Lonchura striata: one gene and its partners. The protein of the gene in region 2 purifies or fractionates together with the protein of the main gene of each other region. This does not show direct contact. Links are inferred from orthologs where the notes say so. Each region holds a gene or a part of one and is shown on either strand. Other genes may lie near its edges.

Region 1 (7,153 bases), on a different chromosome or scaffold from region 2:
CTTCTGCAGCGAGAGCAGGATCTGCTGGTAGAGCCCCCGCACCAGCTCCCCGTGGCTCCTGCGGGCACAGGCGGGCACTGAGCCCCCGGGGCACCCCCGGGACACCCCCAAACCCCCCCCGGGAGCCCCCCGCCCACCAGAAGATGCGGCCCAGCAGCATGGCGGCGTAGTCGCGCAGCGTCCAGTGGTCGTTGAGGGGGTTGATGGAGGCGGCCAGCGGCTCCAGCACGCAGTAGAGCACCGAGGCCACCAGGCTGCCCACGTAGGAGCCCAGGCTCAGGAACGGGTTCTGCAGGAGGCTCCGCGCCAGCTGCAGCAGCCGGCTCAGCTGCTCCAGGTCGTGGCTCACGGATTTCACCTGGAGCAGGTGGGGGAAGGTGGCAGGGAGAGTTTGGGGAGGGGCTCCAGGGATAGCCTGGCTTAGTTCAGCTCAGCTCAGCAACTTTCAGCAGCCTCTGGAGACCCCCAGGACCACCAAACTCACCCCAGACCACCTTGGGACCCCCCAAATCCCTTGGGAACCCTCAGGGACCCCCCCCAAACTCACCCCAAACACCCCCAGGACCCCCCAAACTCACCCGATCCCCCCCAGGACCCCCCAAACTCACCCCAAACCCCCCCAGGACCCCCCAGACTGACCCCGCTGACCACGTAGACGAAGTAGGGCAGCAGCGCGGCGATTTTGGGGTTGCTCTGGAGGTCCTGCAGAGCCACCTGAGGGGGGAGGGGGGACACGGGGGGTGGGGGGGTCAGGCCGGCTTGGGGGGAGGGGCAGCCGCCCCCCCAGGGGGTCCCCAGCCCCCCCACCCACCTTCATGAGCTGGGGGTCGTCGCCCAGCACGGCGCGGGTGACGTGCTGGTAGTACTTGAGGAGGTCATCGCTGAGCGAGGAGACGGCGCTGGGCACTGCGGGGGGGTACCCCAAAAAATAAACCCCACTGGGGGGCTTAGGGGGTCTGGGGAGGGGTCTTGGGGATCTCAGGGGGTCGTTCCTGACCTGTTCCCTGCGGCTCCAGGTTCCCTTTGCCATCCAGGTAGGAGACGTGCACTGTAGGAGAGAGGGGTGAGACCCCCGCCCCACCGGGGAGGGCTGGGCAGGTCCCAGGGGGAAATTCGGGGATCCCAGGGGGAGATTCGGGGGTCCAGAGAACATTTTGGGGTCCCAGGATGATTTGGAGCCCCAGGATATTTTGGGTTCCCAGGAGGATTTGGGGTGCCAAGAGGATTTGGGGTCCCAGGAGAATCTGGGGTGCCAGGATGATTCTGGGGTTCCCAGGATGATTTTGGGTCCTGGGATGATTTCGGGGTCCCAGGATGATTTTGGGGGTCCCAGAGGATATTTTGGGGTCCCGGGGGATTTGGGGTGCCACCTCGGACAGCGGTCTCAGCGCAGCCCTTGGGGATGTTGGTGGCCAGCGCCAGCTCCAGCAGATTCACCTCGCGGTCCTCGGGGAAGAACAAATCCCCCTCACGGAGCGGCCGGAACGGCAGCGAGTCCTGGGAGCCACAGCCACACACGGCCTGGGGACAGTGAGGGGACATTGGGACATTGGGGACAGTGAGGGGACATTGGGGACAGTGAGGGGACATTGGGGACAGTGAGGGGACATTGGGGACATTGGGGACAGTGAGGGGACATTGGGGACAGGCCTGGGAGCCACAGCCACACACAGCCTGGGGACAGTGAGGGGACATTGGGGACAATGAGGGGACATTGGGGACATTGGGGACAGAGTCCTGGGAGCCACAGCCACACACGGCCTGGGGACAGGGGACATTGGGGACAGTGAGGGGACATTGGGGACAGTGAGGGGACATTGGGGACAGTGGGAGCACTCCTGAGAATTTGAGGACACTGCAGGGATTTGGCACAGCCCCGATGCTCCCAGTGCCACCAGTGTCCCCCCAGTGTCCCAAATATCCCCAGTGTCCCCAGTCCCCCCCAGTGTCCCCAGTGTCCCCAGTGTCCCCAAAGTCCCCAGTGTCCCCAAAGTCCCCAGTGTCCCCAGTCCCCCCCAGTGTCCCCAGTGTCCCCAGTCCTCACCTCGACGTTGCTCCAGCGCAGGGCTCGGTTGAAATCCTCCACGGTGAGGCGGCGCCGCCGCGTGTGCTTGAGGAACTGCGAGCTGTTCTGGGAGCGGGGACGGGACAACGGGAACGAGGAAAAGGAAACGGGAACGGAACCGTCACCAAGAGCGAGACCGGCATGGGGAACCGCTCCCGGGATGGCACCGGAACCGCTGGGCGGGACCGGGAGCATCAGCGGCAGCGGGGCCGGGATTGCCCGCGAGTCTCCCCGGTAACCCCGGTACTCCCGGTACTCCCGGTACCTGCGTGGCCTCCCGCAGCCGGTAGCCCCGGTACCCCCGGTACTCCCGGTACCTGCGTGGCCTCCCGCAGCCGGTAGCCCCGGTACCCCCGGTACCTGCGTGGCCTCCCGCAGCCGGTAGCCCCGGTACTCCCGGTACTCCCGGTACCTGCGTGGCCTCCCGCAGCCGGTAGCCCCGGTACTCCCGGTACCTGCGTGGCCTCCCGCAGCCGGTACCCCCGGTACTCCCGGTACCTGCGTGGCCTCCCGCAGCCGGTACCCCCGGTACTCCCGGTACTCCCGGTACCTGCGTGGCCTCCCGCAGCCGGTAGCCCCGGTACTCCCGGTACCCCCGGTACCTGCGTGGCCTCCCGCAGCCGGTACCCCCGGTACCCCCGGTACTCCCGGTACCTGCGTGGCCTCCCGCAGCCGGTAGCCCCGGTACTCCCGGTACCCCCGGTACCTGCGTGGCCTCCCGCAGCCGGTAGCACACGTCCTCGGCCAGCAGCGCCGCCACCTCGTCGCTGAGCTCGAGGCCGGCGCTCTCGGCCATGAGCCGCACCGAGTCCCGGGGCAGCTCCACGAAGCGCCGCTCCTCCCGCTCCGCCATGGCGGGGCCGGCCACGCCCACGGGGGCGGGGCATGCAAATCAGCCCGCCTGAAGCGCGCCGGGAACGTCGCGGAATGGGCGTGGTTATGCAAATGAGAACCGCGCGGGGCGTGCCGGGAGCAGCACCCCTCAACCCCCGGAACTTTTGTGCCCGGAACGGTCCCGCCGCGCTCGCGGTTCCCGCGCCGGAAGGGCCGGGGGGGGGGGCTGCCAAGATGGCGGCGCCCACGCGGTTGTGCCACGTCTGGGTGGGGGCCGAGACCGGAGCCCTGAAAGGTGGGGGGGGCCCGGGGGGGGTCCTGGGGGGCTCGGGGGGATCAGGGGGAGCCCTCAGGGGGGATCTCGGGGAACCGGGAGGGACCTTCGGGGGTCCCGGGGCTGGCCGGGAAGGTCCCGGGGGTTTGGGGGGGGGGGGACACGGGGGGGTTTGGAGGGGATTTTGGGGGTCCCGGGGGTTTAGGGTGGGGTCGGGAGGGTTTTGGGGGCCGCGGGGGGGGGTCCCGGGACGATCCTGAGGGTCTGGGGGGGGGGTCCTGGCAGTTTGGGGGAGGGGAACGCGGGTTTGGGGGAGTCGCGGGGGTTGTGGGGGGACTTTGGGGGTCCCGGGGGGGGTCTTGGGACTTTCGGGGTGACTCTGGAAGTCTTGGGGGGGGGCGGTCCTGGTTGTTTGGGGCGATCCCGGGGCGGTTCCTGATGTTCCGGGGGTTTCTGGTGGTTTTGGGGGGTCCCGGGGGGGGGCTCCTGGCGGTTTTGGGGGGTCCCGCGGGGGTCTCCAAGCCCCCCGTGCCCCCCCAGGGGTGAACCTGCAGCGCAGAGAGGCCTGGAACCACGCGGGGGGGAGGGGCTGAGCCGGGCCCGGGGGGTCTCAGCGCTGGCCTGGGGGGACCCGGCCCAGAGCGAGGTGAGTCGGGGGTCCCGGGGGGAGGGGGGGGGTCTGGGGGGGGGTCTGGGGGTGTCCTGAACCCCCCGAACCCCCCCAGGTGCTGGTGGGGGCCCTGGATCGCTCCGTCAGCGTTTTCAGCACCGAGAAGGGAAAATTCACCGGGGGGCGGCTCTGCCCGGGGGGGGGCGGCGCCTTCTGCGGCCTCGGGGTGCTCGGCAGGTACGGGGGGTTTGGGGGGGTCTGGGGGGTTTGGGGGGGATCCTGGGGGGTTTGGGGGAGATCCTGTGGGGGGTTTGGGGGGTCTGGGGGGTTTGGGGGGGATCCTGGGGTGTTTGGGGGGATCCTGGGGGGGATCCTGGGGGGTTTGGGGGGATCCTGGGGGGGTTTGGGGGGGATCCTGGGGGGGTTTGGGGGGTCTGGGGGGTTTGGGGGGGATCCTGGGGGGTTTGGGGGGGTCTGGGGGTGCTCAGCAGGTACCGGGGGTTTGGGGGGGGTTGGGAGAGATTTGGGGGAGTCTGGGGGGGGTTCTGGGGGCTTTGAGGGGGGGTCTGGGGGCACCCAGGGGATCCCTGAAGGGTCTTTGGGGCATCTTGGGGAGGGTTCAGGGGTTCTGGGGGGGTTCCAGAGGGGTTTTGGGGTGTCCAGGGATTCCCTGAAGGGTTTTTGGGGGGTGGGGGATGGGCCAGAGGTGCTAGGGGGGGGTCCCCAAGACCCCCTGAGCCCCCCAAAATCCCCCCAGCTCCGTGGTCACCGCAGTGGAGTCGGGGCTGGTCCGGGTCTGGGGGGAGCAGGAGACTGAGGAGGTGAGTGAGGGGGTCTGGGGGGGATTTTGGGGTCACCCCAAGACCCCTCCTCAATCCCAGCCCCTTTTGGGACCTGGGGGTGGGGTCGGATGTGCCAAAAATGGGTGTTTTGGGGGGTTTTGGGGTGGTTTTAGGAGGGTTTGGGGGTTCCTGGAGGGTTTTGGGGTGACCCCTCCCCGTTCCCAGCCCCTGTGGGAGCTGCAGGTGGAGCTGTGCCAGAATTGGGGATTTTGGGGCAATTTGGGGTGGGGTTTTAGGGTTTTTTAAGAGGGTTTCAGGTGTTTTTTTGGGATTTTAGGAAAGTTTGGGGTGTTTTTGTTGGGCATTTTTGGGTTTTTAGGAGGGTTTGGGGTGGTTTTTTTGGGGTTTTTGTGGGGATTTGAGCAGGGTTTGGGGTGTGGGTATTTTGGGGGTCCCTGGGGGATTTTGGGGTGACCCTGGTGCCCCCCAGCCCCTGCAGGAGCTGCAGGCGGGGCCGGGGCTGTGCCGGAATTGGGGTTTTTGGGGCAGTTTGGGGTGGTTTTTTGGGGTTTTTGCGGGGATTTGAGCGGGGTTTGGGGTGGTTTTGGGGCGTGGGGATTTTGGGGTGACCCCGGTGCCCCCCAGCCCCTGCAGGAGCTGCAGGCGGGGCCGGGGCTGTGCCGGATGCGCCAGGACCCGGCGCGGCCGCACGTGGTGGCCACGGGGGGGAAGGAGAACGGGCTCAAGGTGTGGGACCTGCAGCGGCCCCAGGAGCCCCTGTTCCGTGCCAAGAACGTGAGTCAGCCCCAAAAACAACCCCAAAATACCCCCAAAATACCCCAGAAACAATCCCAGAACCGCCCCAAGAACACCCCAAAAACAACCCCAAAAACGCACCAGGGCCACATTGAAAGCAACCCAAAAAATACCCCAAAACCACTACAAAAATAACCCCAAAAACAACCCCAAAATACCCCAAAACCAATCCCAGAACCGCCCCAAGAACACCCCAAAAACACCCCAAAAACAACCCCAAAAACGCACCAGGGCCACCCTGAAAACAACCCAAAAAACACCCCAGAAACACTACAAAAATAACCCCAAAAACAACCCCCAAAATACCCCAGAACCACCCCAAAAACGCCCCCAAAACAACCCAAAAACAATCCCAAAAAACCCCCCCAAAACCCCAGAAACACCCCAGAACCGCTCCAAAAATAACCTCAAAAACAACCCCAAAACCAACTCCAGAACCACCTTGGAACCACCCCGAATTGCCCCCAAATGTCCCAAATTGTTCCAAGTTTTCCCCAGATTTCCCAGATTACCCCCAAATGTCCAAGATTGTCCTCATATTGTCCCAGATTGTCCCTAAAGGTCCGAAATTGCCCCCAAATTGTCCTCAAAGGTCCCAAATTGTCCCCAAACATCCTCAAACTGTCCCTAAATGTCCCCAAAATTCCGGAATTGTCCCCAAAGTTCTGGAATTGTCCCCACACCAGGTGAGGAACGATTGGCTGGATTTGCGCGTCCCCGTCTGGGACCGGGACCTGCAGTTCCTGCCCGGGTCCCAGCGGATCGTCACCTGCACCGGGCACGGCCAGGTGAGGACACCTGGGGGCACCTGGGGGGGCATGGCCAGGTGAGGACACCTGGGGGCACCTGGGGTCATCTGGGGGGGCACGGCCAGGTGAGAACACCTGGGGGGGCACGGCCAGGTGAGAACACCTGGGGTCATCTGGGGGGGCACGGCCAGGTGAGGACACCTGGGGTCACCTGGGGGGGCATGGCCAGGTGAGGACACCTGGGGGCACCTGGGGTCATCTGGGGGGGCACGGCCAGGTGAGAACACCTGGGGGGGCACGGCCAGGTGAGAACACCTGGGGTCATCTGGGGGGGCACGGCCAGGTGAGGACACCTGGGGTCACCTGGGGTTATTTGGGGGGGCACGGCCAGGTGAGGACACCTGGCCTCACCCGCTGCCCCCCTCACCTGTGCCAGGTGCGTCTCTACGACCCCTCCTCGCCCCGGCGCCGCCCGGTGCTCGATGCCACCTTCGGGGAGGCGCCGCTGACGGCGCTGGCGCTGCCCGCCGGGGACACGTCAGTGCCGGGGGGCCTGGGGGGGTTTTGGGGGGATTTTGGGGGGTCCTGGGAATAGTGGGGGAATTTTGGGGGGGTTCGTGGGGCGTCCTGAGGGAATTTTTGAGGGTCCTAAGAGGATTTAGGGTGGCTTTGGGAGGCTTTGGGAGGGATTTAGATATCCACTAAGTGACCTAGGGAGGGGGATTTGGGTGCCCAAGGTGAATTCAGGGTGCTGGGGATGAATTTGGGGTGCCTGGGGGGGTCCTGCTGCCCCCCCAGCCCCATTTCCCCCCTCCCCAGCTCGGTGGTCGTGGGCAGCGCCCGGGGGGATGTGGCCGTGATCGACCTGCGCAAAGGTGAGGGGGGTTTGGGGGTCCCAGGGGGATTTTTGGGGGGTCCCGGGGGGATCTGGGAGTCCTGGCTGGATTTGAGGGGGTCTTGGTGGGGATTTTGGGGAATCCCAGGGGTTGGTGACCCCCTGACCCCCCCGTGCCTGCAGGGCGG
Region 2 (7,630 bases):
TGCTCAGCTGAACCAATCCTTTATCATGGAATGTTGTGGATTCAAGAAACCACTCTGTGTCCTATGCTAAGGCTGGGCCACATGGAAATCTCTGCTCTGGTACCTACCAGGTGCCATTGCCAATGGATTGGGATGAAAACACGGCTTTTTAGAGAAGCTGGCATAGCTGGGACTTTACAACCCATTTGGTTTTGTAGCAAGGTCAGTACTCCATCCCCAGGATAAATGACAGGGACCAGTGTTTCCCTACAAACCTTCAGGTATCTGAGGTAACTCAGCTGAACTTCACAGGGATTCAAAAGCAAGAAGCTTCAGGCAGAATCACACAATGGATTCTGCCTGTGATATCTCCAGAGCTTTTAGCCCTGCAGCCAGACATTCAACCTCATCTGCTTTAAAGCCTGTGGATTAAGCAATGGCAGTACTACTTGGATGGAAGGTTGCAATGCTTGGATGAGAAAAGGCTTAAGCTCAAGGGAAGAAAAAATTCCTGAAGATTAAAAATAGGGTAATTTTTAAGAGATAAAAATGTTTTTTTTAGTCTTTAAAATATTCTTCTGTGTTTTGATGAGCAGAGTTGTTCTGTAAATTCTTTCCTTTTAGAATGTGGAAAAACTTGTATTTTTTAGAGTGCCTGAAAAAATGCAGGAGAGGTACTGAGGAACCTTCACACATTCTGTACTGGTTATTAGCATGGAGAGCCTTGTGCTTGCAGGAGCAAAGCTGCTGAACATCTCCCTTCAAATCCACTTGTGGAGCCAGGGGCTTCAGCCTCTTGCAGATCCAAATTTAGGCCAGCTCCACATGTAATCCAGGTTTATGGGAGGAGTCCTACCCAAATCCTTGATGCTGCTCACACACCTGATCAAAGTGAAAGGTTCCTGTTTACCTGAGGATGAAATTGGACATTTTAACACATATCATGGCAAAGCATGCCCGAGTGATGAGGTAGCAGCTGATTCATGGCTATCCAGAGGAGCCTAGAAGTGCCACCTTGGGATGGCATGGATAGAAGAGGCAGTTACTTTGCTTTTCCATGTGAAGAATGCTGCTTCTCCCCAGCTGAGCTATCATGGAATGCAAATGACTCTCTGGAGGAAGACTTTGCTGCACATTTGCAGTGTGTTTTAGCTACTATCAACATTTATATTCCACTGGCATTTGAGGGTAAGCACTAATTAGCATAATCATCAATGCTTTAAAATTAAAAATTCTTCCAAGAGACACAGGAGAGAATGAAACTCTCTCCTTCCCCCAGAGGCAAATCCTTTCCCAAGCTATCTGCTACACCAAAAGGCTTTATTCTAGAAACATTCCCAAGCCATGTCCAAGAGTAAATTAAACTACAGCAAACTTGTAAACTTGTGTGAGTGTGTGTGTGTGTGTGTGTGTGTGTGTGTGTGCAGAAAGCAGGCCCTGATTTGACAATTACTACCTGACAAAATGTCGTCACTATTTTCCATTCCTATTTTGTTTTGGCTGCTGCTCTGCTGTTGTGTCACCTTCAGTGTGTGGGCTGCAACAAGCAAGAAATATTTGTAGAGCTGGAAGTTTTTATACTTCATAGGAAAGATTCTGTTGTCTTCACAGGACAGAAAGCAAACGGTTTAATGACATTTGTAGAGTTTTGTCTCAAGCCCCCCAAATCAGGAATTGGTCTCAAAAAATCTCCAAAGCCATTGTTTTCTACACTGTTCCAAAGTGGATTTTTACTCTGGTTCCAATTTACCACAAGAAGCCCAATTTGAATTTCTAGCATAAATAAACCCCTTTTATGGAGAATAAGGTGCCAAGGGAACCTTGGGGGAGCTTTAAGTTTGAAAGGTAATGTCTATACTTTGGAAATATCTCCTAAGAGTGATCTTTAAATTTCTACATTGATGCCTTTGGGAAATGACAGTAGGTCTCAGCAGGTGTGCTCCAGGATGGGTGTCCTCCATGTGGGGCCTTTGTGACGGATGCTCCTCACATCCTCAGCAGGGTCAGAAACCTCCAGGACAGGAGTAGGTAACTGCTAATTGTTCTGGAAGCGGCCAGAGAGAAAGATCAGTATTTTTCCAAAGGTTCTCTCTCTGAGAGAGAACCACTAAAAAAGTAGGTGTTTCTTAAAGCAATTGTGTTTAAACTCACAATTCTTGTTATTTCTACATAAGACACCCTAAAGGGAGTAAACACAGGGACTCTGCAAGACAGAGTGGAACAGAAATCTCTGTGAAAATTTCAGAGTCTGCAGGACATTGAACATATGTATTGTCTCTTTGGTATCCTGTTTTTTCAGTGAGATGGACTTAAATTTCATTGGCAGAAATTCTCTCTTTTATCTTTATCTCCTGTTTTGATGTGGTAGCCATGGAGAAAAGCCCCAGATTAGTAACAGTAGGTTGGTGCAGAATAAGAATAACTTTCTGCTTGTATTTAGACTGCAGCAAAATCAGAGGTTTTGTTTAATTGGAAATATTCAGAGAATAATTATTAGATGCTGTTAGGACACTAATCACCCATCCTGTTCTCTTCTATGCACCTTAACCTCCCTCTTTTCTGAGGGTGGTTTTCTCAGGGGAGGGGCTGGCTCTCTCTGACTCCTGCTTTTGAAAACCGATTAATTCTCCTGGAAGTTGGGTTAACACGGGAAGGATGTGCAGCACCAATTCCTGTTCCCTTTCCAAGGAAGTGTAGGCTGCACTGTGATGACTTAATAGGTCTAATGATTACACAGGGTCAAAGAGAGGGTACAGCCTCCCTCCACATTCCACTCATAATCTTCTGAAACATTCAGTGCAATTTGTGTACACAGCGGGATAATCGGGCCCTCTCCCGGCTCTTGGCATTTTTTTTTTTTTTTTTTACCACCTGTGGGGCAATTCCAGGTTTATCACTGGAGCATAATCCCCAGACTGTGTGGAAGAGGTATTTCTGGGAGAGGCTAATAAGTAGTTTGAGCCAGGAGATGGAACAATTACAGGTGTCCTGCTGCTGTCCCAGCCTGGGCCACAAACCCAGCTCTTTGCCACCAAACCTTCTAGCTACACACAAATCATAAACTAAGTTGCCTACTAACCACCTTGCTTTCTTTTTTTAAAACAGCAGCACCTCAGGAGGAAACGGAAAGTCCTCAGGTGATTGTCACTGATTTTTGTATTTATTGATTGCTAGCTGCAGCAGCAGGTGAGGAAACTGGGCGCTATAAGGAAATCTGCAAGGTGAAGATTTCAAGGTTACGGCTCCCGAGGAATGTCATTAGCACGCACTGAAAAGTGGGGTTGGTGAAATAACGTGGGTTTATTTCCCCGCTTATTTCCTTGTTGCACAGTGTTTGCAGTGCTTCTCTAAGAAGCCTCAGCAAAGCCTCCGGCCTCTCTCTTCAGAAACCACGGCGTAATTCCCATCCTTTCCCTCCTGCCTCACTCCACTATGTAACCCTATAATGTGTGTGACATACAAGCTGAAAACTATGTAGAGATTCCAACATTTTTACACCGTCTTCCCATTTCCTTGTATAGGAAGAAGCTGAAATAACACCAGTTTTGGTGATACAGCGCTTTTGTTTCTTCCCTGTGGAACACCAGGATGCAGGCTGGCGGTATGGAGGGACCATACATGGTGCTGGGAGCGCTGGGAGCGTGGCGCGGAGCCTCCCCCGGGAGCCCGGCGGTCCCGGTCCCCTCAGGAGACCGCTGAGGGAACAGCGAGAGCGGGACCAGCGGATGTGACAGCAGCGCAGCCTGCTGCGCGAGGGACCGCCCCCTCGCGAGCACAGCCAATCCGATCTCCGCTTGCAGCGTGACTGACGTCTACGCCGACCAGTCATAGCGCCGCTCCCACCACACAGACCCCGCCTTTTCTCCCCGTTGGTCAGAGAAGCTGTTAATCGTCCGGGATGTCCCGCCTCTTTCCGGCGGGGGAAATGCTAGGTAGGAAGGGTGGAGGGGGAGAGAAGAAAGGGAAAGGAACCAATGAGACACTAGAGATGGATAGATTGACAGGGATGCGGACCAATCGCCGCGCTCCTTCCCCCCGCCGCTCCCTCCCTCGCGGGCGGCGGGGCAGAGGGGGCGCTCCTCCCGCACCTTCCCCGTTGGTCTATCCCACTCCGGGCCGGGCGGGCTGGGTTGAGTGAGCGGCTCGGACCATTGCTCGCGGCGGGCGGGGGGGGCGCGGGCGAGGCGGAGGAGGAAGGAGCCGGCGAAGGAGGCGGGGGGGCGGTTTAAAGGGACAAGAGCCGTGCGGGCGCCGGCGGGGGAAGCCGGAGCGGCGGCGGGCGGGGACTCGCCCCCTTCCCCACACACGCCCGCTCGCACCGCGGCCGGGGTCGCCGCCGCCAGCGCCCCCATCCCCTCCCTTCCCCTCCGCCCGCCGCTTCCACAGCGGCCTCTATGAGGTAGAAGGGAGCGGCGGCCACTCCGGGGGCGGCAGCGGCCGCTACAGCCGCCGCCTCCTCCTTCTCCTCGCCTCAGAGCGCCCCATCTTTGTGTGTGCGGGAGAAGGGCGGGAGGGAGTGCGCGCTGCCCGCCCGCCGCGCTTTGTTCGGAGCCGGGGGGCCGTGGCGGAGCCCCGGCTCTATGTGCCAGCGGCTCCCCGGCGGCGGCGGCGTGAGGGGCCGGAGCCCCTGAGGGCGGGGGGGCCCCGGCCCGTGTCGGTGCTGCGGGGCGGGGGAAGGGGCCGGCTCGCTGCCCGCCGGCCCGGCCCGTGTGCGGGCGGATTGATGTGGGGGGGTCTGACATGAGTCCGCCGGCGGCCGGGTGCTGCCATGTGACCGGCTTCAAGGTGGAGAACTGGAAGCAGAACCTGCGGGCGATTTACCAGTGCTTCGTGTGGAGCGGCTCGGCCGAGACCAGGAAGCGCAAGGTACCGGGGGCGGCTCGCATCCACCCCCCTTCCCTTCCCTCCTTCCTTCCCTCCCTCCCCGACCCACCCGCCGCCGCCTCGGGGAGGGGACGGGTCCGGTCCCCCTCTAGCCCTCCCTCTTTCCCTCCCCACGGGGCAGGTGGGCCCGAGCTCCTGCACGCGGTCCCGGGGGAAGGGAGGAGGAAGCGCTCGGTGCCTCCGGGATGGCGAGGGGGGGCACCGGGATGGAGGAGGGAGCCAGCCCCGGCGGGGCCTCCCTCCCTGCCACCTGCCCCGCCGGCTTTTCCGCAGCGGGGCTGTTCCGCAGCGCCGCCGCTTCCTCCTCCTCCTCCTCCTCCTCCTCCTCCTCCTCCTCCTCCCGGAGGTTTCCCGGAATACCGGGGGGAGGGGAGGCCCGGGGCACCGGGCACGTCCGGCCTGTGGCGGAGCTTTGTGGAGCCCCGCGGGGCCGCGCCCGAGCCCGGGGGGCTGCGCGGAGTACAATGGCTGGGAGCGGGTCCCGGCGCCGGGGGCTGCGGCTGGCTCGGTTATGTGTGTGGTTTTCCTTAAAAAGGAAAAAAAAAAAAAAAAACAAATCCAAAAAAAACTACCAAAGCTGTTCGTGCTGATAATCCACTTGGAAAAGGGGATTCCTGCTCTGGTGGGGCAGGGGAAGGGAACTGGTTCAGCCTGGAGTACGGGGAAGGGCAGGAGGGGTTTGCTCTGGGAGCTGTTGGCGCCTGGGAAAAAATCCCTGTAAACCAGGCAAAAAGCAGGAAAGCTTTTCCTTACCTATCTCCTATAATAACATCCTTATACCCATGCATGTTTCTCTGGGGTTGGTCTATGCACTGTGCAACTAATTACTGTTTTTCCCTAGAATCAACTAGTTTTTACTTCAAAGTGACTTGGCAGATTTCTGTCAGTCGTCGCATTGGTGACTGAGGAGGGGAAGGCAGCAGCTGCACGGGGCAAAACTTGGGGTTTGGGACAGCACGGATTGTGTTTTTGTTGGAACAACCCATTGAAAACTTCCTGATCCCAGTGCTTTGCATTAAGCTGCTCAGCTTATTATTTGTAATAGAACTAGAGCATGAAGGATGGACTTAAAGGGTGAGGTGCCAAACCATTTCTCTGTGTTCAGTTCATGTTCTCAGGATGATCCAATTTCCCAATTTTTTTACCTAAAGAGGAAAAAATGGAATCTGAGAAGAAATACGTGTTAAATGGATTTAATTACTTGATAGCCCTGCAAAGTATAGCCAGACTTGTTTTAAATACCTTACAATTCCCTACAGGTCAATATTATGGAGTATATTAGTCAAAATCTGGGTTTATTTAGCCTATAGCATGTTAAAATACAAATTGGGATATAGTTGATGGTGCTTTCAGCTCAAATGGAGAAAAAATCGTGTCTGTGCTGTGGAAGAAAAAAATGGCAAGTGAGGTATGAAGATGTCTCAGACAAATATAAAGCAAATGCTATGTGGAAGAATGAAAGTAAAATTTCATAAGCAAAATTACCTTTTTCTAAACATGGAGCATCCTGTGTAACCTGCATACCTCTTGTGTGCTGCAACAGCTTTTTCCTTCTGAAATCTAATGTAGGGATGTGTTCATCATTGCTTGAGAAAACAGCTGAAAATACAGAATATTCTATTGTAATCAATCTGTTCTCACTTCCTCTTTGTACAGCCAGGCTCATAAAGTAGAACAGGATTGTTTCAAAATTATCTGTCATCCCAGGGAAAACACCAGTTTTCCTAATACATGCTAAAAATGCTTTTCCCCCCGCTTTTTTTTTAAAGCAGGTTGCCAGCATGAAAACAGTTTCTGAATCCGGCCCACCTGAAATATGTGGGTGTACATGATCAATATGGGGGAACATTTTGGGTAGCTAAATTGGGATCCAATTCCCTGTGTATGTTTGTAAGGACTGAAAACAAGTCTATAAATGACAGTTATGGTACTTTATTCACCCTTTCTCTATATGAACATGAGACCTTCAATGGAATTTTAATTCACTGAAATTCTCTGTACAGATGTTTGCCTGACAGTTTTACATGTAAAATTAGAAAAAGGATGTTTTCTGTTTGGTGGCAGATTTATAGTCTAATAACTAGAAATAAAATTAGCTAGAAATAACTAGAAATAAAATTAGGATAGTCCATATAACTTGAAAACAATCCTTTGTCCTTTAATAGTTTACATACACGTATATTATGTATAAGTATATGTATATTCTAGGAGCAAGCTGTGACTGCTTAAGAGCACCTGTTTATTGGTGAAGATTCTTCTTAATCCTAATAATCAAAATGACAAGGCCAAATTAAAGGTTTATTAGCAAGTGATATTCTTTTTATTACATGATCAAGGACAGTCACATTATATGTTTATCACAGAAACATTCCATATATGTAATTGGTCTTTATGGAAGGCACTGGGCAGTTTAACTGTTGTTCAGATGAAGGTAGGTATAAAAATGCTTTGGCTGTTGGTGAGAGCCAGATGTAAATGGTTCTGGTTCTAGAATGGTAACTACTATCCCTCCTAAGCCTGTCTTAAAAATCCAGGGAGCATTGGGAACTGCAGGGGGCAGAAAGGGTCTGTTCTCCTGCTGTACCTACACTGCGTTGTGCCTTGGCAGACCATTTTAGTGCTGTGCTATTCGGTTTTAATACGCACCTTTTCTGTGAATAAGCTTTTACGAGCTCCAGCTCGCGCTTCAGTTTGCTTTACAGCCAGTGCTTCCAGCAGAATGGCTCTAAAACCTGCTTTATAGTGGGAAAGCTGTCTCCTGAACGTG
Region 3 (6,972 bases), on a different chromosome or scaffold from region 2:
CACAGGACTTTTGTAAGCTTCACTTTGCTGCCAGCATTATGCAAAAAAACCCAAACAAAACAAAGGGTGAAGAAAGTTTCCAGCAAATGAAACTATCTCCTACCTTCAAAGAAAAGCAAGGATTACACTGATATTTATCCAATAGTATGGACTAAAGCAACTACTCTGGGACTACTGGACTTCAGTAAGTTCACATGAAAAAATCTGTTCTAAGAATGTACCAAAAGCAGTGAAATCCAATGTAGAAGTTTCACAATTAAGTATTTTCCATGATCCAAAGCAAAAGTCTGTTTATACCACCATGGATCATGATGACTGTGAAGTTTATGTATTTGCTCTTTTGTGTTTTTAAGCGACATGGTTTCTGTATCTTTGGGGAGGGAAGGAAAAAATAACGGAGTCCTTGAGGCTGTAACGGGCCTCTGCTGTGTTTTTTCAGATCAGCTGAATTTCATGAAGCATCCCTGGATATCCAACCACTTTCTGTCAGAAAGTTTAAAATCCTTTTCTTCAGTACCTTATCTAAGTAACTGGGAAGGCGACTCTTTGAAGGAATCCCTTGTCTTTTTTGGAGGTGGTCTTTAATGATGATAGTTTTTACAGTCACATAACGTGCAGGACTCAAGTTCAGAGAGCTGCAGAGCACCTTTTCCCTGTCTGATAAGAGTTCAAAGCCAGGCAGGTTTTCAATGGCAGCAAATTCACCTTCTTTACCCTCTTCCTTCCCTCTCTTGGAACTAGCTATGTTCTTGTTCTCCTTCCTCTTTTCCCGTTTGTGCCGGGCCGCCTCGTACTCTGCCGACTCCTCCATTTTGGTGATCCCATTTCGCCGATACCGCTGCAGCTCCCGAATCTTCGCTCGAAGTATCCTCTCCTTGTGCATGTTCTCAAAGAAGTCTTCAAACTCCTTACAAGACATGAACTGGTACAAAGGCCTCAGTTTTAGCCTCAACTCCTTCTCTTCTTTTGTGATTTTTCGTTTGGGTGCTTTCTCCTTGTCTTTTTTATCCTTCCCCAGGAAGGCCGGTACCAAATTATAATCTCGCGCAATGTTCTTCCGCCGCTGCCTCTCCTTGAGTTTCCTGACGTACATGTCCACGTGAGCTCTTTTCAGCTCGATTTCCACGTCGTCGTCGTCGTAGTTGACCGAGAGGCCGCTGATGAGCGTCTCGGCGTCCTGGTCGTACTCGATCTCGTAGTCGTCGCGCAGCGGCATGTACCCCAGCTGCTGCTGCTCCGCCACCGAGATGTCCAGCGGCGGCAGCGGCGTCGTCAGGCTGGGCGACAGCGGGCCGCCGCTGGGACACGTGTGGTCCGTCACCCTGTTGGGAATGGTGTCAGGGATGCAGGCCTTCCCCAGGTTGCCGTGGATATACATGCTCACGTAGTGCTCCATCACCTCCTGAGGGCTTCGGGATGCTCCCACGTGAGCAGCCATGTCCTCCTGAACAGAAAAAAAGGAGTGATAAAACGATGCCCATTACATCTCCAGCATAATGAGCACTCAGGAAACAGCATGAGTTTTTCCTTGCTCCTCAAATCCAGCTCCCAGTAGCTAAACTTCTCTAGCAACACCAGCCACATTTCTATCAGATCTGCAATTCCAGCTCTGGATGAGTGTTTACGATGGGTGCAAGTAAGCCACAAACCAGCACCACATGGTGATTCCTGAGCACCCACGGCACTCCCACAAAGCCAGCTCACCATAACCAGAAGCTTTCCAAGTCCCAACACCAACAGCACTGTATGGCTTGGGTTTTTGCTTGTTTATATCACATTACTGAGGAGCAACATGGAAATAAACAGTCTTTTCTGTACGAGTAACCATTTTTATTCCTTTCTAGTTACTTAAGAACTAAGCAAGCTGCAATGATTATACACTTTAAGGTTTTGAAAATGTATTTATACTTAATGAAGCAAAACATAAGTAACAACAAATCAAATCAATCAAAAATGAATCAAATGGTCCAGCAGAGGGCAATGAGGATGACTGGGAGACTGGAGCATCTCTCTTACGAGGACAGGCTGAGGGACTTGGGCTTGTTCAGCCTCAAGAAGGGACAACTGAGAGGGGACATCACCGATGTCTATCAGTATCTCAAGGGAGGTGTCAAACGGACCAGGCTCTGCTCTGTGGTGCCAAGCAATAGCACGAAAGGTAACAAGCAAAAACTGATGCACAGAAGTCCCACATGTACATGAGGAAGGACTTCTTCACTGTGCAGGTGACCGAGCACTGGGACAGACAGCCCAGAGAGGCTGTGGAGTCTCCCTCACTGTTAACAGTCAAGAACCGTCCGGATGCAGCTGTGTGCAGTGTGCTCCGGGATGACCACGGGAGTCCTTTCCAGCCTGGCCCGTTCTGTGACTGAGATGAAGCTTTCTCACCGCTGCTTTTTAACCCCAAGCCTGGCCGTGCAGTGGCACTGAAGGCAGCAGCCAGCCCGCAGCTGGGACACCCTGACGGCAGAGGCCGAGCCCGGCTAAGCGGCAGTGCAAGACCCGTGACACGGCCGCGGCAAAGGCAGAGCTTCGAGCAGCGGCAGGTCCGAGCTGCGGGGCGCTCCTCGCACCGCGCGGGCAGAGCGCGGCAGCCCCGGCCCCGCAGCGCAGGACGCGCCCGGGGCTGCTGTCAGGGCCGCCGCCCCAGGAGGAGGATCGCCCCCGCCCCTCGGCCCTTACCCAGTTGCCGAAGCCGAACTGCTCGATGGCGTCCAGCAGCAGCTGCTCCTCGCGGCTGCTCCAGCCGCCCTCGGCCTCGGCGCCCCAGAGGGTGAAGCGGCCGCCGTCCACCAGCTGGTAGCCGTGCCATCGGCGGTGCGGGCCGATCTCGGCGCCCGCCGAGAAGCACTCGGGGCAGAGCTCGATGTCGGCGCACTCGGTGCAGCGGAAGCGCAGCGGGCTCACTTCAGCCAGGCAGTACACGCAGTACTTCTTCCCCAGTTCCGCCATCTTACCCCGCCCGCGCGCGCGCGCGGCCGCGCCCCCGCCGCCCGCGCCGCCAATGGCAGCGCGCTCCGGGGGCGGGGCCGCGGCCGGCACCGACCAATGGGGCCGGGGCTGGCGGGCGCGGGGGCTGTCACCGCGAGGGAACGGCTCCGATTGGCCGAGGCGGACTCGTCTACCCTTGCCGCGGCCAATGGGAGCGGCCGCCCCGAGAGGAGCGGCCGCGCAGGGGCCGCCCGCCAGGGGGCGGGGCCGCGCGCGACCGGGGGCGGGGCCGCGCTCGAGAAGGGGGCGGGGCCGCGCGGGTGCCCGGCAACGGGGGAAGCGGGGCCGGGCCGGGCCCCGCCGGAGCCGGGCCAGCCCCAATGGAGCCGCCGGAGCCGGGACAGCCCCAATGGAACCGCCGGAGCCGGGACAGCCCCAATGGAACCGCCGGAGCCGGGACAGCCCCAATGGAGCCGCCGGAGCCGGGACAGCCCCAATGGAGCCGCCGGAGCCGGGACAGCCCCAATGGAGCCGCCGGAGCCGGGCCGGCCCCAATGGAACCGCCGGAGCCCGTCAGTGCCGCACAGCCCCAATGGAAGCACCCTGCCCCGTCAGGCCAGCATTAAAGACATAAAGCGATTCTGCTTTTAGGTGTCTCGGCTCACGTAGAAAACATCAGGCTGAGGCGTGAAACCCCAGCTGTTGGAACCAGCGTGACTGCTCGGAGAGAGCAGCTCAACGCTCTGTGAGCGTAAGCACGTGAAGAGCTCGACCATCCGTGATGAAATTCTCAAGCTCAAGAAGAACGTATGAAACCGACCGACATTCTCAGCCACTTCATGGCAAAGCTGGAGTTACTGGAAGCTGAAAGCCTGAACGGATGAGTGGGAAACGTGTCAGAGGAGAGCGATATCCTGACCAAAATAAAGGCAGCCAGAGAAACAACCTGAAAGGCCGAGGAGAAACCTGAAACTGCAGCAGAAACGTGGGGTGCTTGGAACTGAGACACCACTTCAGGACTTCGAGGAAAAATACTGCAGAGCTGCTGAGTCAGCAGCTGGAAATGCAGAAATGTCATTATGCTGTGCTGCTTTGGGGCAGTTCAGATAAAAAGCCAGAAAGCCAGAAGACTGCTAAAGCCACCTGTGAAGAAAAAGACTAGTACTGGAATTTTCAATATCTAAATTACACTGACAACAGTTGATTAAGATAACTTTACATGACTTTATTTAACAAAACCATATATTTACAGTTGAAAAAAGTTCCAGTCTGATACACATATCTAAACAAAACAAACGTGGTAATTACATAACCCAATTTAAACGTGATGTACAGGAGATGTACCAACACTTCTCTATATATCATTCTTGTTTTAAAACATTCAAAAATAAGCTGTTACAAGGTACCTTTTTTTCCCAAATGAAATTGTTTACTAAATGATGAAATAACATTACTGATTGACTGCAGATCAAAGTTGCAAAACTGCTTTATTATAAAGTGCAGATCGTAAAGAATCCCAAAGCTGGTTGGAGTTTTCTGGTTTCTCTGATCTGCTGCACATACAGTGGTACTTTCCATGTATTGCAGCGGTTTAATTTTTCTTTAAACCCACGAAGAAAGTTTGCTTGATGGGGACATTTGCTCCATGAAAGAAAATCTCATGCATCTTGTTACAGATACTTTCAAGTACCTGAACAATTAAATTGTCTTTTTTTTAAATGCAATTCCCTGAATTTCTTAAAGAAAATTTCTGTATTAGCTAATTAAGAGATTTGGTATACTGCAAGAAAAGTGAAAAGCTCAGTGGCAAGAAATTCTATGCCATTACTAGTCAGCTCTGTATTTATCAAAATTCAAGCATTACCTTCAAATCAAGTTATTGAGAAGTTGAAATAATTGCATGTTTAGGCAGGTGATTTGTTTCACATGTATTTTGTTTGAAAATAAACTGTGCAAAGCTCCTTATTGCATTGCTGTTTCTTCATTAAAGAACATACCTTATATACACAAAGAAATCATTTAGAAAATATATACAACTTCTAAGAACAGATCAAATCACAAAACAAAGTAATTACATTTGCAAGTAACAAACAGTGCACAAGTGTTGCAGCAGGCCTTTTCCCCACAACTATGCCCACTGTCACTGTTACATTCAACATCTTATTGAAAAGAGAAAAAACAGGCTGTTAATGGCTGCCAAGATACCTAGTAGCTAAAAAATGCTTTTTTAACCAGACAAATGAGCCACACTTGTAGACTTGCTTTAAAAGAAAATACAAATGTAGTTGCAATGAAGACTTAAATCACAAAGCCAGTTACAGTACCACCTAAACATGTATATTGAGAAAAAGTGATCTCTATGTTCCATAAACCGTTTAAAAGCATAGTGCAAATGTTTTGGATGGTAGGCCTCTCGTATTCCTCATGGAAAGGCATATTTGTTGTAGTAATAGAAAAAGTAATATTAAAAAACACTTACTGACCTTCCTGCTTTCTATTGCACTTCAAAGCAATTGAGCATACAAGTACCAGTCATTGGAGGACAAATTCTGTACAAATTCTGAGTGAAATAACATGTTTCCTATCATATCTTAATATCTGTTTTCAGTAAGTGATGACTGAGGTGATGTCTTGTGGTGGAATTAAGATGACCAACAAAAAACCACATCCATTACACCAGCTGCACAAAGAGGACAGGAGAAGAGGTCAATGAGGTATCGGACTTGCAGGCTGCATTTGCATTACACATCTTTCAAAGCGATGATGAGTCCTCACTTACCAGGAAATCTTGTTCTCACTCTTCTTAATATTACAATCAAATTATCCCTCATGGAAATAATGTCTGTACCAAAGGACAATGTTTTGATTGTCCCACAGTCCTTTACACTGTATGTTGAGTTGAGCAGTGTGCAACTATTCTTCTTGTTTTTATTCAGACAATGCCAAACTAATCTGCATAAAGCAGCTGAAGAGCACTGGGAAACTGCTGACCATACAGCTGGAGGATTTAGTAACGCCTGTTCACAGTTAACACGAATATTGCTTCAGTTACCTTTCCCTTTTCAATGATCATCGTTAGTATAAAACAGGTTTTACACTATACACTATGCAATAAACATTCTTGTGAATCAGAGGCACTCATGATTTGCCCTTCAACATTCACCTGAATGAAAAGAGGATCTAAGATGTATGAGGGATTTATGTAACATCCATTTGCTGCCACTGTAACTTGCTCTCATGTATTAGAGATCAGATAAAATGCTCAAAAATGACAGCTTGTACTTTTCCTGATGGTGGCTGGCACATTTCCCAATAAACTTCTTTCACTTGTCACACTAGGAATCTGCTCCACATAACTTTCTCACTCTGGCAGAAGCAGCAGCTTCAGGAGATTCCACAAACTCTCTTCTTTTCACCAGCAACGCTGGCGAACATTAATTGCTCCCCTACCACCCTTCCTCCCGAGTTCTGCCAGTGAGTAAAGCTGGGTTTAAAGTCACTACCAAAATTGCTTTTAACCACTTCCCAGTTTATCTGCTAAGTCCAGTTTTATTTCCATGACTGGACACGTGGCACACAGGAAGTAGATGGTGGGCAAGAACATCGTGAAGCAGCAGTGCCCCAGGAGAGGGACACATGTAACATGTATTTGGTAGTATGTGACCTAGGCTTTGAACAGACGAAAAAGTACAAATTGGGAAATTATGCCACCTTAACACCAGAACCCTCTTGGCAAGTTTGGAATCTAGTCTGATGCATGGAATTTTCTCCATATGTATCCAGTTTAGAATATCAATTTCCAAGGCATCTCAAAGAATAATTAGTTTCGCACTGCTAGTTTGTCTTCTCTTCCAAGCTTACTTTCTACTTAACTTTTTCTTAAAAGAAAGGAATGTAGTTCTATGTCTACATGATTTCTTTGGTAAATGGGACCCACAGCCTATAAAATCAGAAGCCTTTCTAAAGAAATGGTCCTTATATTATTTAGAATTCCAGCACCAGTTATCTAAAATCCAGATCCAGCTACTGTTACAGATATTG
Region 4 (7,454 bases), on a different chromosome or scaffold from region 2:
CTGACAGCCAGCTACTTTGCTGGTGCTTTTCTTATGCAAACTCCATCATTCACTATCTGTAAGAAAATCTTGTGATTCATTTACTGCTCCATTTCCACCACAGTAGATACCTGAGTTCTTAAAACTGTCTGCTATGTCATAATTTCTGCAATATAAAACAAAACCACCATTGTGGTAAATCCATTGCACAACAGGATCCTGGGAAGTATTTATGAATCTCCTGCCATACTGCTTAAATCATGACTTTGTTACAAGCATCAGATGTTTATAATCTTGTTATGATATTGAGGCCTTATACAGCTGGTTTTTTATAATACTTTTGTAGCTAGTTTAAAGCCATCTGGTGCACGTATTGCCAGGTATACCTGATTTTGTTGTTGTTGTGACTACACATGCATTCTCAGCACTCTCATAGTGTTTTCTCAGTGTATGACAGTACAGCTGAAGTTAAATCATGTCATTTTATATTTGTACATGGTGACTACATATGATGCTCCTGATAGCCACATGTGAGGATTTCTGTTTTAGTTTGTCATGTCTTCACATTCAGATCCTGAAAATTATATAAAAATATTGGATTGGTCTCCAAATAAGCCAAATATCGATATGCAGCTTTGGATCTCTTCTAATGTCATAACTTTTACTGTGTTTTTACAAAGCCCAAGCCTTTAAATATAATTAGAATAAATAGGTGTAGGAACATTTGGTTACTTGTAAAAAAGCTTGCATTTGGAGATCATCTTAGTAAAAGACCAATGATATAAGGATAAAAAGGTTAGAGTTGAGGTTTTATCTGTATTTTGCCATTTATTAATTAAAGGCCATAATTTGCTTATAGTTACTTTTTAAATACCATGTTATGATTGGATCACTCTAGTATTTAGAAGCTGCAACAAAAATCAAGGCTGCATTACCTTGAATTCTGAAAAATCACATATAAAAAGGAAGCTTCTGCTTGGCAACTGAAATTAAAGAATCCTCAGGGACCAGGAAGGGAGAGAAGGACCTTTCCTGGCTGACTTAATTATTTTTCTGTGGCAGAGTGACTTGTTCAAGGTCATAGAAGAATTAAACTTCTGTATTGGTGAGCAGGTGGAAAAAAAAACAGAGGCTGTTTAATCTGCACTTTCACATGCAGTGTTTTTTTTACTGATTTCCTAAGGAACAAATTTTGTGACCATGTTTGTGACTTTCCCTCATTTTTTTCCCTCTCCACCCCTGAATTTTGGCCCGACTGATTAATAAAAACAAATCTGAAAGAGGAATGAAAGTCTTAAATAGGTTTGTCTTTCTAAGAATTTTTGAATCTTGTGGAAGCAGATGCCAGGAGAAGGGAAGAAGAAACCATCTGCATGGTCTGTCTACAGTAAAGCTGCAGCTTGAGTTCACATTCACAAAATAGCATTACATATATTCTTAACAATGGGAAAACTTATAGGATGTCGGATCAGCTCTCTTTCTATTTTGCTATAAGATGGAGCACAATCACAGCTGTCCATAGAACATAAACTAGTTTATTAGGCACCAATGTGGAGTGAAATAAGAGGTCTTGGGGAGAAGTCCTGGTGCAGAAGTGAGGATACTCTTCTGCAGCTTCAGGACTTGCACCCTACGAGACAATGGAGACAAACGGAAGGCTGGTTTGCTTAGGGATGGTGTTATTTCTTGGTGCAGATCATAGAGGCAGCATAGATGTAATCAAAGCAGAACTCACACTCTTTAAACAAAAGATGCTCATCACAGGAAAGATGGGCATATGTGTAGATGTGCCAGTTATGGACATGTTTCAGTGATGAAATTAGTGTTAATGATTGGACTCAATCTTAAAGGTCTTTCGCAACCTAAATGATCCTATGATCCTGATTGTGGAACCATTTGCTTAACGATAATGTTGGTCTTGAATACATATGGTAGGGAGGAGAAATTCCTTGGGGAGGGCTTTGGAAAAGTTTCTCTTAAACTGTAAGTCACTGGATTGTTTCTTTTTAGGAAGGAATTGGTACATCTTGAATCTTTGATTTTATGCTAATTTTCCTTCATATGGTCTGTTTCTGTTAAGAACCTAGACTATCTGTAGTGTGTCATGGTAGGCAGCATGTAGATCAGTGCCATGTGTTAAAGCTGGAAAGTTTCTTCAAATTTTTTTTTTTTTGCTTGGTTGGAGGCAGCTTGTATTAAATACTTTACCCCTCCCCTTTTTCCTCAGTTGTATAGGTAGGAATTGCTTTACTAGTTGTGCATCCTGTGGTAGTGTTTAATATTAGCTGGATACTTGGCCATCCATACTTCCTTGAAATCTAATGTTGGTTTTCATCGATGGGGATTTCCTGGGCGCTCACATGCCTTTCTTTTGTATCTTCTCTCCAGATCCACATCTAGGGTAATGACACCAGCGTTATGGTATAAGCTGTGTAGTTTAAATTCTCTAATTATGAAACTATTTAGCCACTGTCGAGACATTTGCTCAATTATCTTGCAGTGAATTTGAACACAAGTGTCAAACATGGTTGATTTTTAAGTTCATGTTATTTATCATTCCTTCTACAAATTCCATCTTGCTATTCCTGACCAAAGAGTTTTTCAGTATAGTGGGCAAACTTTTCAATCTCAACATAAGCAATTTATGTCTATTCTTTTTTTCTTCCTCATTGATGTGAAAGGAATTATGTGTTCTTATAATTAAAAACATCACACATATTCACTACCAGCTGAATTTTGTTAGACTAAGTAAAACTCTCCTCAAATGACAGAATCTTAATTCCTCGGATCTTTCTCATAACCCTGTCCACACTTCTTTTTTTTTTTTTTTTTTTTTTTTTTTTTTTTTTTTAGGAAGATTAATTTAAATTGGTGGGATAGAACTGCACATAATAGTCCTAAATATATCTTCCCAGGGCTTTGTATTACATCACAACTACCCTTCATGCTTCTGGAAATTCCCTATGTAGCCTACGAAAGGTCATGCATCCTATGCCTGCTTCATGATAGCTGCCAAGAAGACTGCTGTGATTGCCTGGTTTTATTTGAAGGGTATTTTGGTGAGATTTCTGCTTCTTTGATAATGGTACTGAAGTTTCCTGTAGCTAATGTTTACTTGACTGGAGGCACTCTTAGTAGGCTATACAGAATGAAAGCTTTGAGGCTCACCTCCGGGTATTAGGGATGGGACTTGTATATTCCAGCTATTTTGGAAGAGGTGGAGTGTGTTGACAGTGTACATAAGGCAAAGAGTGTTTGTCCCTTGCCCCAAATCTTTATCCATTTCAGCACTGTAAAGAGCTTAGTCTTAATGAAGTTGTGGGAAATTTATTTAAATCCATTCTGGAGTGCAGCACCATATACTTTATGACAGGCAGCAGTGCTGACTTCAGCAGCTCCTGTCCTGCCCCTCTGGCCACAGCTCCAACTTTTGAGCAGGCCTGAAATGATTCGGTAGGTTTTATGTTTGTCTGGTTTTGGTTTTGTTTTGTTGATTTTTTTTGAGTCCACATTAATTCCATGTACTGCTTCAGTATTGCCTCAAAATGGTTTGAACCAGCAAAAAGTGAACGAGTGTCTGGGAAAAGATGCAGGACAAGGATGGGATCACGCAAAACTCATATCACCATGTGAGAAGTGTCTGTTGAACCATTCACTTCAGTCATCACCACTGCTAATGGTGTTGCAGAGCCGTATGAAATACACTACATGAGGGATATGTGAGGCTGCTCAAATGAAACCAAGTCCTTCACTGGGAGCGTTTATATTTGTCTTAAGAGGTATAAGCTGAAGCAACAGGCTTATGCTGAAACTCCTAATCTAGAGCAGGTATACTGAGTATGAAAATATTAACGGTTATTTTCTATTCTTACCTCAGTGGTGAAATAAGCAAAAGTGACACTATCCTAAATGAAAAGCATTTACGTCCCATAGATTATGTAGAGCGAGATGAAAACCTCGGTATTGTTTGAGAGTAGCCGGACCTGCGAGTTCAGAGCTGCTGTACCGTAGCCTAGAACACCAAAACGAGAAAAATCCCATTTGCAAGCAGACGAAGCCTACTACAGATCAGGCAATATCTGGACAACAAAATGGCTGTGGCTGTGGCTATAGGCGATCCACAGGAGCGCAGCTGGCAGTAGGGGAGCGGGGGAGCCCCAGCCCCGCGCTCCGGGTGCAGCGGCCGCGCTGGAGCGCGGAGGGGCCGCGCCGCAGCCACCGAGAGCCCGTCCCAGGCACTTACTGCGGGCGCTGCGGGGCGCGCAGCCCCGAGGCGCGCGCGGCCGGCGGCTGCGCCCTCCCGGCGGGGCTCGGCGGGCCCGCGGCGCTCCGCCGGGCGGGCCGGGCCGGTGCCGGAGCGCGGCGCGGCGCGGGTCCGGAGCCCCTCGGGGCGGGCGCGGGCCCGCCGCCGGCGGCGCGGGGCGCAGGCGCGGGGGACGCGGGCATGCGCGCTGTGCGGCGGGGAGCCCGATCTGATAGGGAGCAGGGGCTGACACTACCCCCGTGTGGGCGGCGGAACGTCCCGAGGATGACGTGCGGCGTTCTCGAATCCCGTGTCTCGCTCGCTCGCTCGCCGCCGCCGCCGCCGAAGGAAACGGGAAAAGCAACAAGGAGGCAGGAGCAGGCGCGGCGCCATGGCGGCCCTGGAGCGGCCCGTGCCCAGTCCCGAGGCGTTCCTGGGCCAGCCCTGGGCCGCCTGGGTGCGGGAGGCCGCCCCCCCGCACGCGCACGGCGCCGCCCCCCCGCACAGTAAGGGCAGGGACCGGCCGCGGTCCGGCTCCGCACGCCGCTGCCCCCGGAGCGGGGCCGGGGTCCGGCCGGGCCGCCCCCCCTCCGCTCCCCTCCCTCCTCCCGCCGGGGCCGGGAGGTGCCGCCCCCCCGGGCGCTCAGCTGACGCTCGGCCGAGCCCCCGTGCCATGTGTGCGGGAGGCGCACGCCGCGCCGCGCCTGCCGTGCCGCTGCCCCGCGGCGCTGGGCCGGCGCCGCGGTGGGGGAAGGGGGCGAGGGGGAGGATGCGCGGAGGGGCCGGAGGATGCCGCGGGCGGGGAGGCGGGGGCGAGGGTGCTGCCGCGGGGGGCCCGGCGGTTCCGCTCCCTGGCAGATGCTCCGACCATTGTGCTTTTGCTGTTGCAAATAGAAACACTGCTCACCTCCTCACCTCTCCTCCTCCCCTCGCCAAACAATAAATGCACACCTTAGGGCCCTCGGCGCTTCCTGACTCTGCTTCTCTTCTGCAGGTGTAGATCTGGAAGAGACTGGAAAGGAGGGTGGAAAAAGCAGGGAGGTTATGAGGCTTAATAAAGAAGGTAAGTGGATAGTGCTGGCACACCTCTCTACCTGTCTGTCTCCTGGTGGTTGTGAATGACTGTGGTTTGGCCTTGACAGGGTGGTCTGATAGCATATGTATTTCTCTGCCATAAAGAACGTTTCAGGGTTGGATACATGCAGATGACTGTCACTGTGTCAACTTCTTTTGAAGTAAGGTGATAACAGGTGTATACGTGCAACTGACAGACATGGTAAAAGATAAGACAATTTTGAGGCATAAGACAGCTACACATCAGTGGCCATATTGGATTATTCTGTGGACCCTGTCCCTTGGTGCAACATTCCAGTTGCTCGTGTGAAGATAAGCATATAAACTTTAAACGTTATATTTTTATTGGCAACTTAGTGGAGGTGTTTTCCCTTGCAGTCAGAAAGGGTTTGTTACAATCTTTGAGTCCATTCACTTTAGCTCAAATCACATTTTGTTTTTTTGTTTGCACTGCTGTGTGTCACCTACAGTCACCTGAGCAGCCCGCATCAAATATTATTTTAGGTTGCGCTAAACCCATGCATATTATGCAAAAACAAATAAAATTAGTCATTTGGGCCATAAGTTCTTCTGGTACCGTCAGTGTGAACAGGCAGACTCCAGCTTAGCGGTATTTGCCAATATGCCCGGCCTGTCACAACTCTGTCAGCTGCAAGAGGAGAAACATTTTGTTTGTGATGTGTGTCATTAACATCATGTTGAGGTAACACCTAGTGCAACTAGTGAAATAGTACAGGATGATTTTTCAAGTAGTTTGTGTTTGTTTCTGTTTCGTTAAGAAAGTGCTTTTCATACACAATCTCTCTGTCTTGGGAAGTCGGTTCATAATGAACGATCCCATCATAGTGAAACTTTGGTGCGACTTACTCTGCTGAGAGGAATCCCGCTATTACCTGTAATGTCACAAAATACATTCTGAAATGATGTTAAGTTTCTCATTACATTACAGTTGTCATTACACGTGCGATCGATTTTGAGCATCTTGGCAGCTCAAAGGAATCTTATGTTTTCTAAACAAGATCTTGAAAAAAGAATGAATTAATGAGTAAACTAGAGTTGTGTGATTAACTATAAAATTGCATGGCATATGCATTAAAGTTATTTAAAATACCATAAAACTTCTTTTTGAAAGACCTGTACAGAGAAGCCAAGCTTGATTGTGTTCCTATCTTGATTCTTATATGCCTGAACCTCTGTATTTTGTCAGCCCAAAGATAAGTTAGCAGCAGAACTGGGATTTTCATGTAGTTATTTATAGGTAAAAGGTTCAAGGCTCTGTACATCTATCAGTAATGTTGATTCAGAAATAATTGAGCAAAAATTTTGCTACTTCAGCCGTGCCTTCATAAGGAGCTTAATTTGTTGAGATAAAGCATTTTGTGCTCAGAAGTCCTTGAACACAAATTCCTTTTATAAGCATGGGACATAAAGATTGAAGCATCTCTGCTTCTTAGTTCTACATAATATGCAAATTGTTTCCTAGAAAGATTCAGTTTAAATTCAGTTCTAGTCTTGTTTGGTTTTTGGGGGGTCAGAGACTCCATCAAAGAAGCTCTATTTAAACTCACTATCCAGAAAAACTACTTCCAAACAAAGCATATGTCATTGCTGACATTATGATCATGACAGGTGTGAAGCACTTACTGGCTTTTATAGTACTTATGTCATAATACTGTGTAAAAAAATCCCAAAATTGACTGTTATATTTAGAAAATAAAAAGCCTTAGGGATGTTACTGCTTTCAAGTAGTAACTTGTGTTAGATCACTTAGAACTTCCATGAAGTTTGAATAAATTAGTATGTATCGAAATATTTTTACTATAGTCACTTAGGCAGTCTGTTTTCACCACACCCATCTGTGTGTCTGAACACCCACTGTAAATCTTTCTTAGGCCCCACAGTCCTTATTAGTAAAGGTGAGGGAAAATTTCAAGAGTTAGATTGGTCTGCAGGAAACATTTCTCATGTAATTACAGAAATGCTTGTGCTTTTATTCTGAACTTGCTTGCATGTTGTGTGACACGTTGAATTTTTTTGCCTGCTTTGTTCATAGATGTGGCTAGGATAGGTCTGAAAACAAAACCCTACTCCTTTTTTTTTTACAATCTTACCAACTTGAGTAGACCTTTTTAATGGCATATGTGGTGCCAGGAGATTT

Evidence for each region.
Region 1: the proteins of USP22 (region 2) and TAF6L purify together in Homo sapiens (affinity purification with mass spectrometry; 3 studies listed by BioGRID and IntAct, with this or other methods). This does not show direct contact. The link is inferred for Lonchura striata from reciprocal best matches to the Homo sapiens genes USP22 and TAF6L.
Region 3: the proteins of USP22 (region 2) and TADA2B purify together in Homo sapiens (affinity purification with mass spectrometry; 4 studies listed by BioGRID and IntAct, with this or other methods). This does not show direct contact. The link is inferred for Lonchura striata from reciprocal best matches to the Homo sapiens genes USP22 and TADA2B.
Region 4: the proteins of USP22 (region 2) and ATXN7L1 purify together in Homo sapiens (affinity purification with mass spectrometry; 3 studies listed by BioGRID and IntAct, with this or other methods). This does not show direct contact. The link is inferred for Lonchura striata from reciprocal best matches to the Homo sapiens genes USP22 and ATXN7L1.

What each region holds. Positions count from the first base shown.
Region 1 is NC_134638.1:392,957-400,109, reverse strand, and holds the start of TAF6L (TAF6-like RNA polymerase II p300/CBP-associated factor-associated factor 65 kDa subunit 6L), read right to left. Parts: upstream 3,018-7,153; 5' UTR 2,919-3,017; coding exon 2,772-2,918; intron 2,132-2,771; coding exon 2,045-2,131; intron 1,522-2,044; coding exon 1,371-1,521; intron 1,049-1,370; coding exon 998-1,048; intron 907-997; coding exon 812-906; intron 715-811; coding exon 640-714; intron 359-639; coding exon 138-358; intron 59-137; coding exon 1-58. UniProt on the Homo sapiens protein: Functions as a component of the PCAF complex. The PCAF complex is capable of efficiently acetylating histones in a nucleosomal context. The PCAF complex could be considered as the human version of the yeast SAGA complex.
Region 2 is NC_134618.1:15,148,590-15,156,219, forward strand, and holds the start of USP22 (ubiquitin carboxyl-terminal hydrolase 22), read left to right. Parts: upstream 1-4,626; 5' UTR 4,627-4,719; coding exon 4,720-4,845; intron 4,846-7,630. UniProt on the Homo sapiens protein: Deubiquitinase that plays a role in several cellular processes including transcriptional regulation, cell cycle progression or innate immunity.
Region 3 is NC_134606.1:11,778,384-11,785,355, forward strand, and holds the start of TADA2B (transcriptional adapter 2-beta), read right to left. Parts: upstream 3,008-6,972; 5' UTR 2,953-3,007; coding exon 2,683-2,952; intron 1,445-2,682; coding exon 452-1,444; 3' UTR 1-451. UniProt on the Homo sapiens protein: Coactivates PAX5-dependent transcription together with either SMARCA4 or GCN5L2.
Region 4 is NC_134607.1:59,798,720-59,806,173, forward strand, and holds the start of ATXN7L1 (ataxin-7-like protein 1), read left to right. Parts: upstream 1-4,454; 5' UTR 4,455-4,613; coding exon 4,614-4,728; intron 4,729-5,216; coding exon 5,217-5,285; intron 5,286-7,454.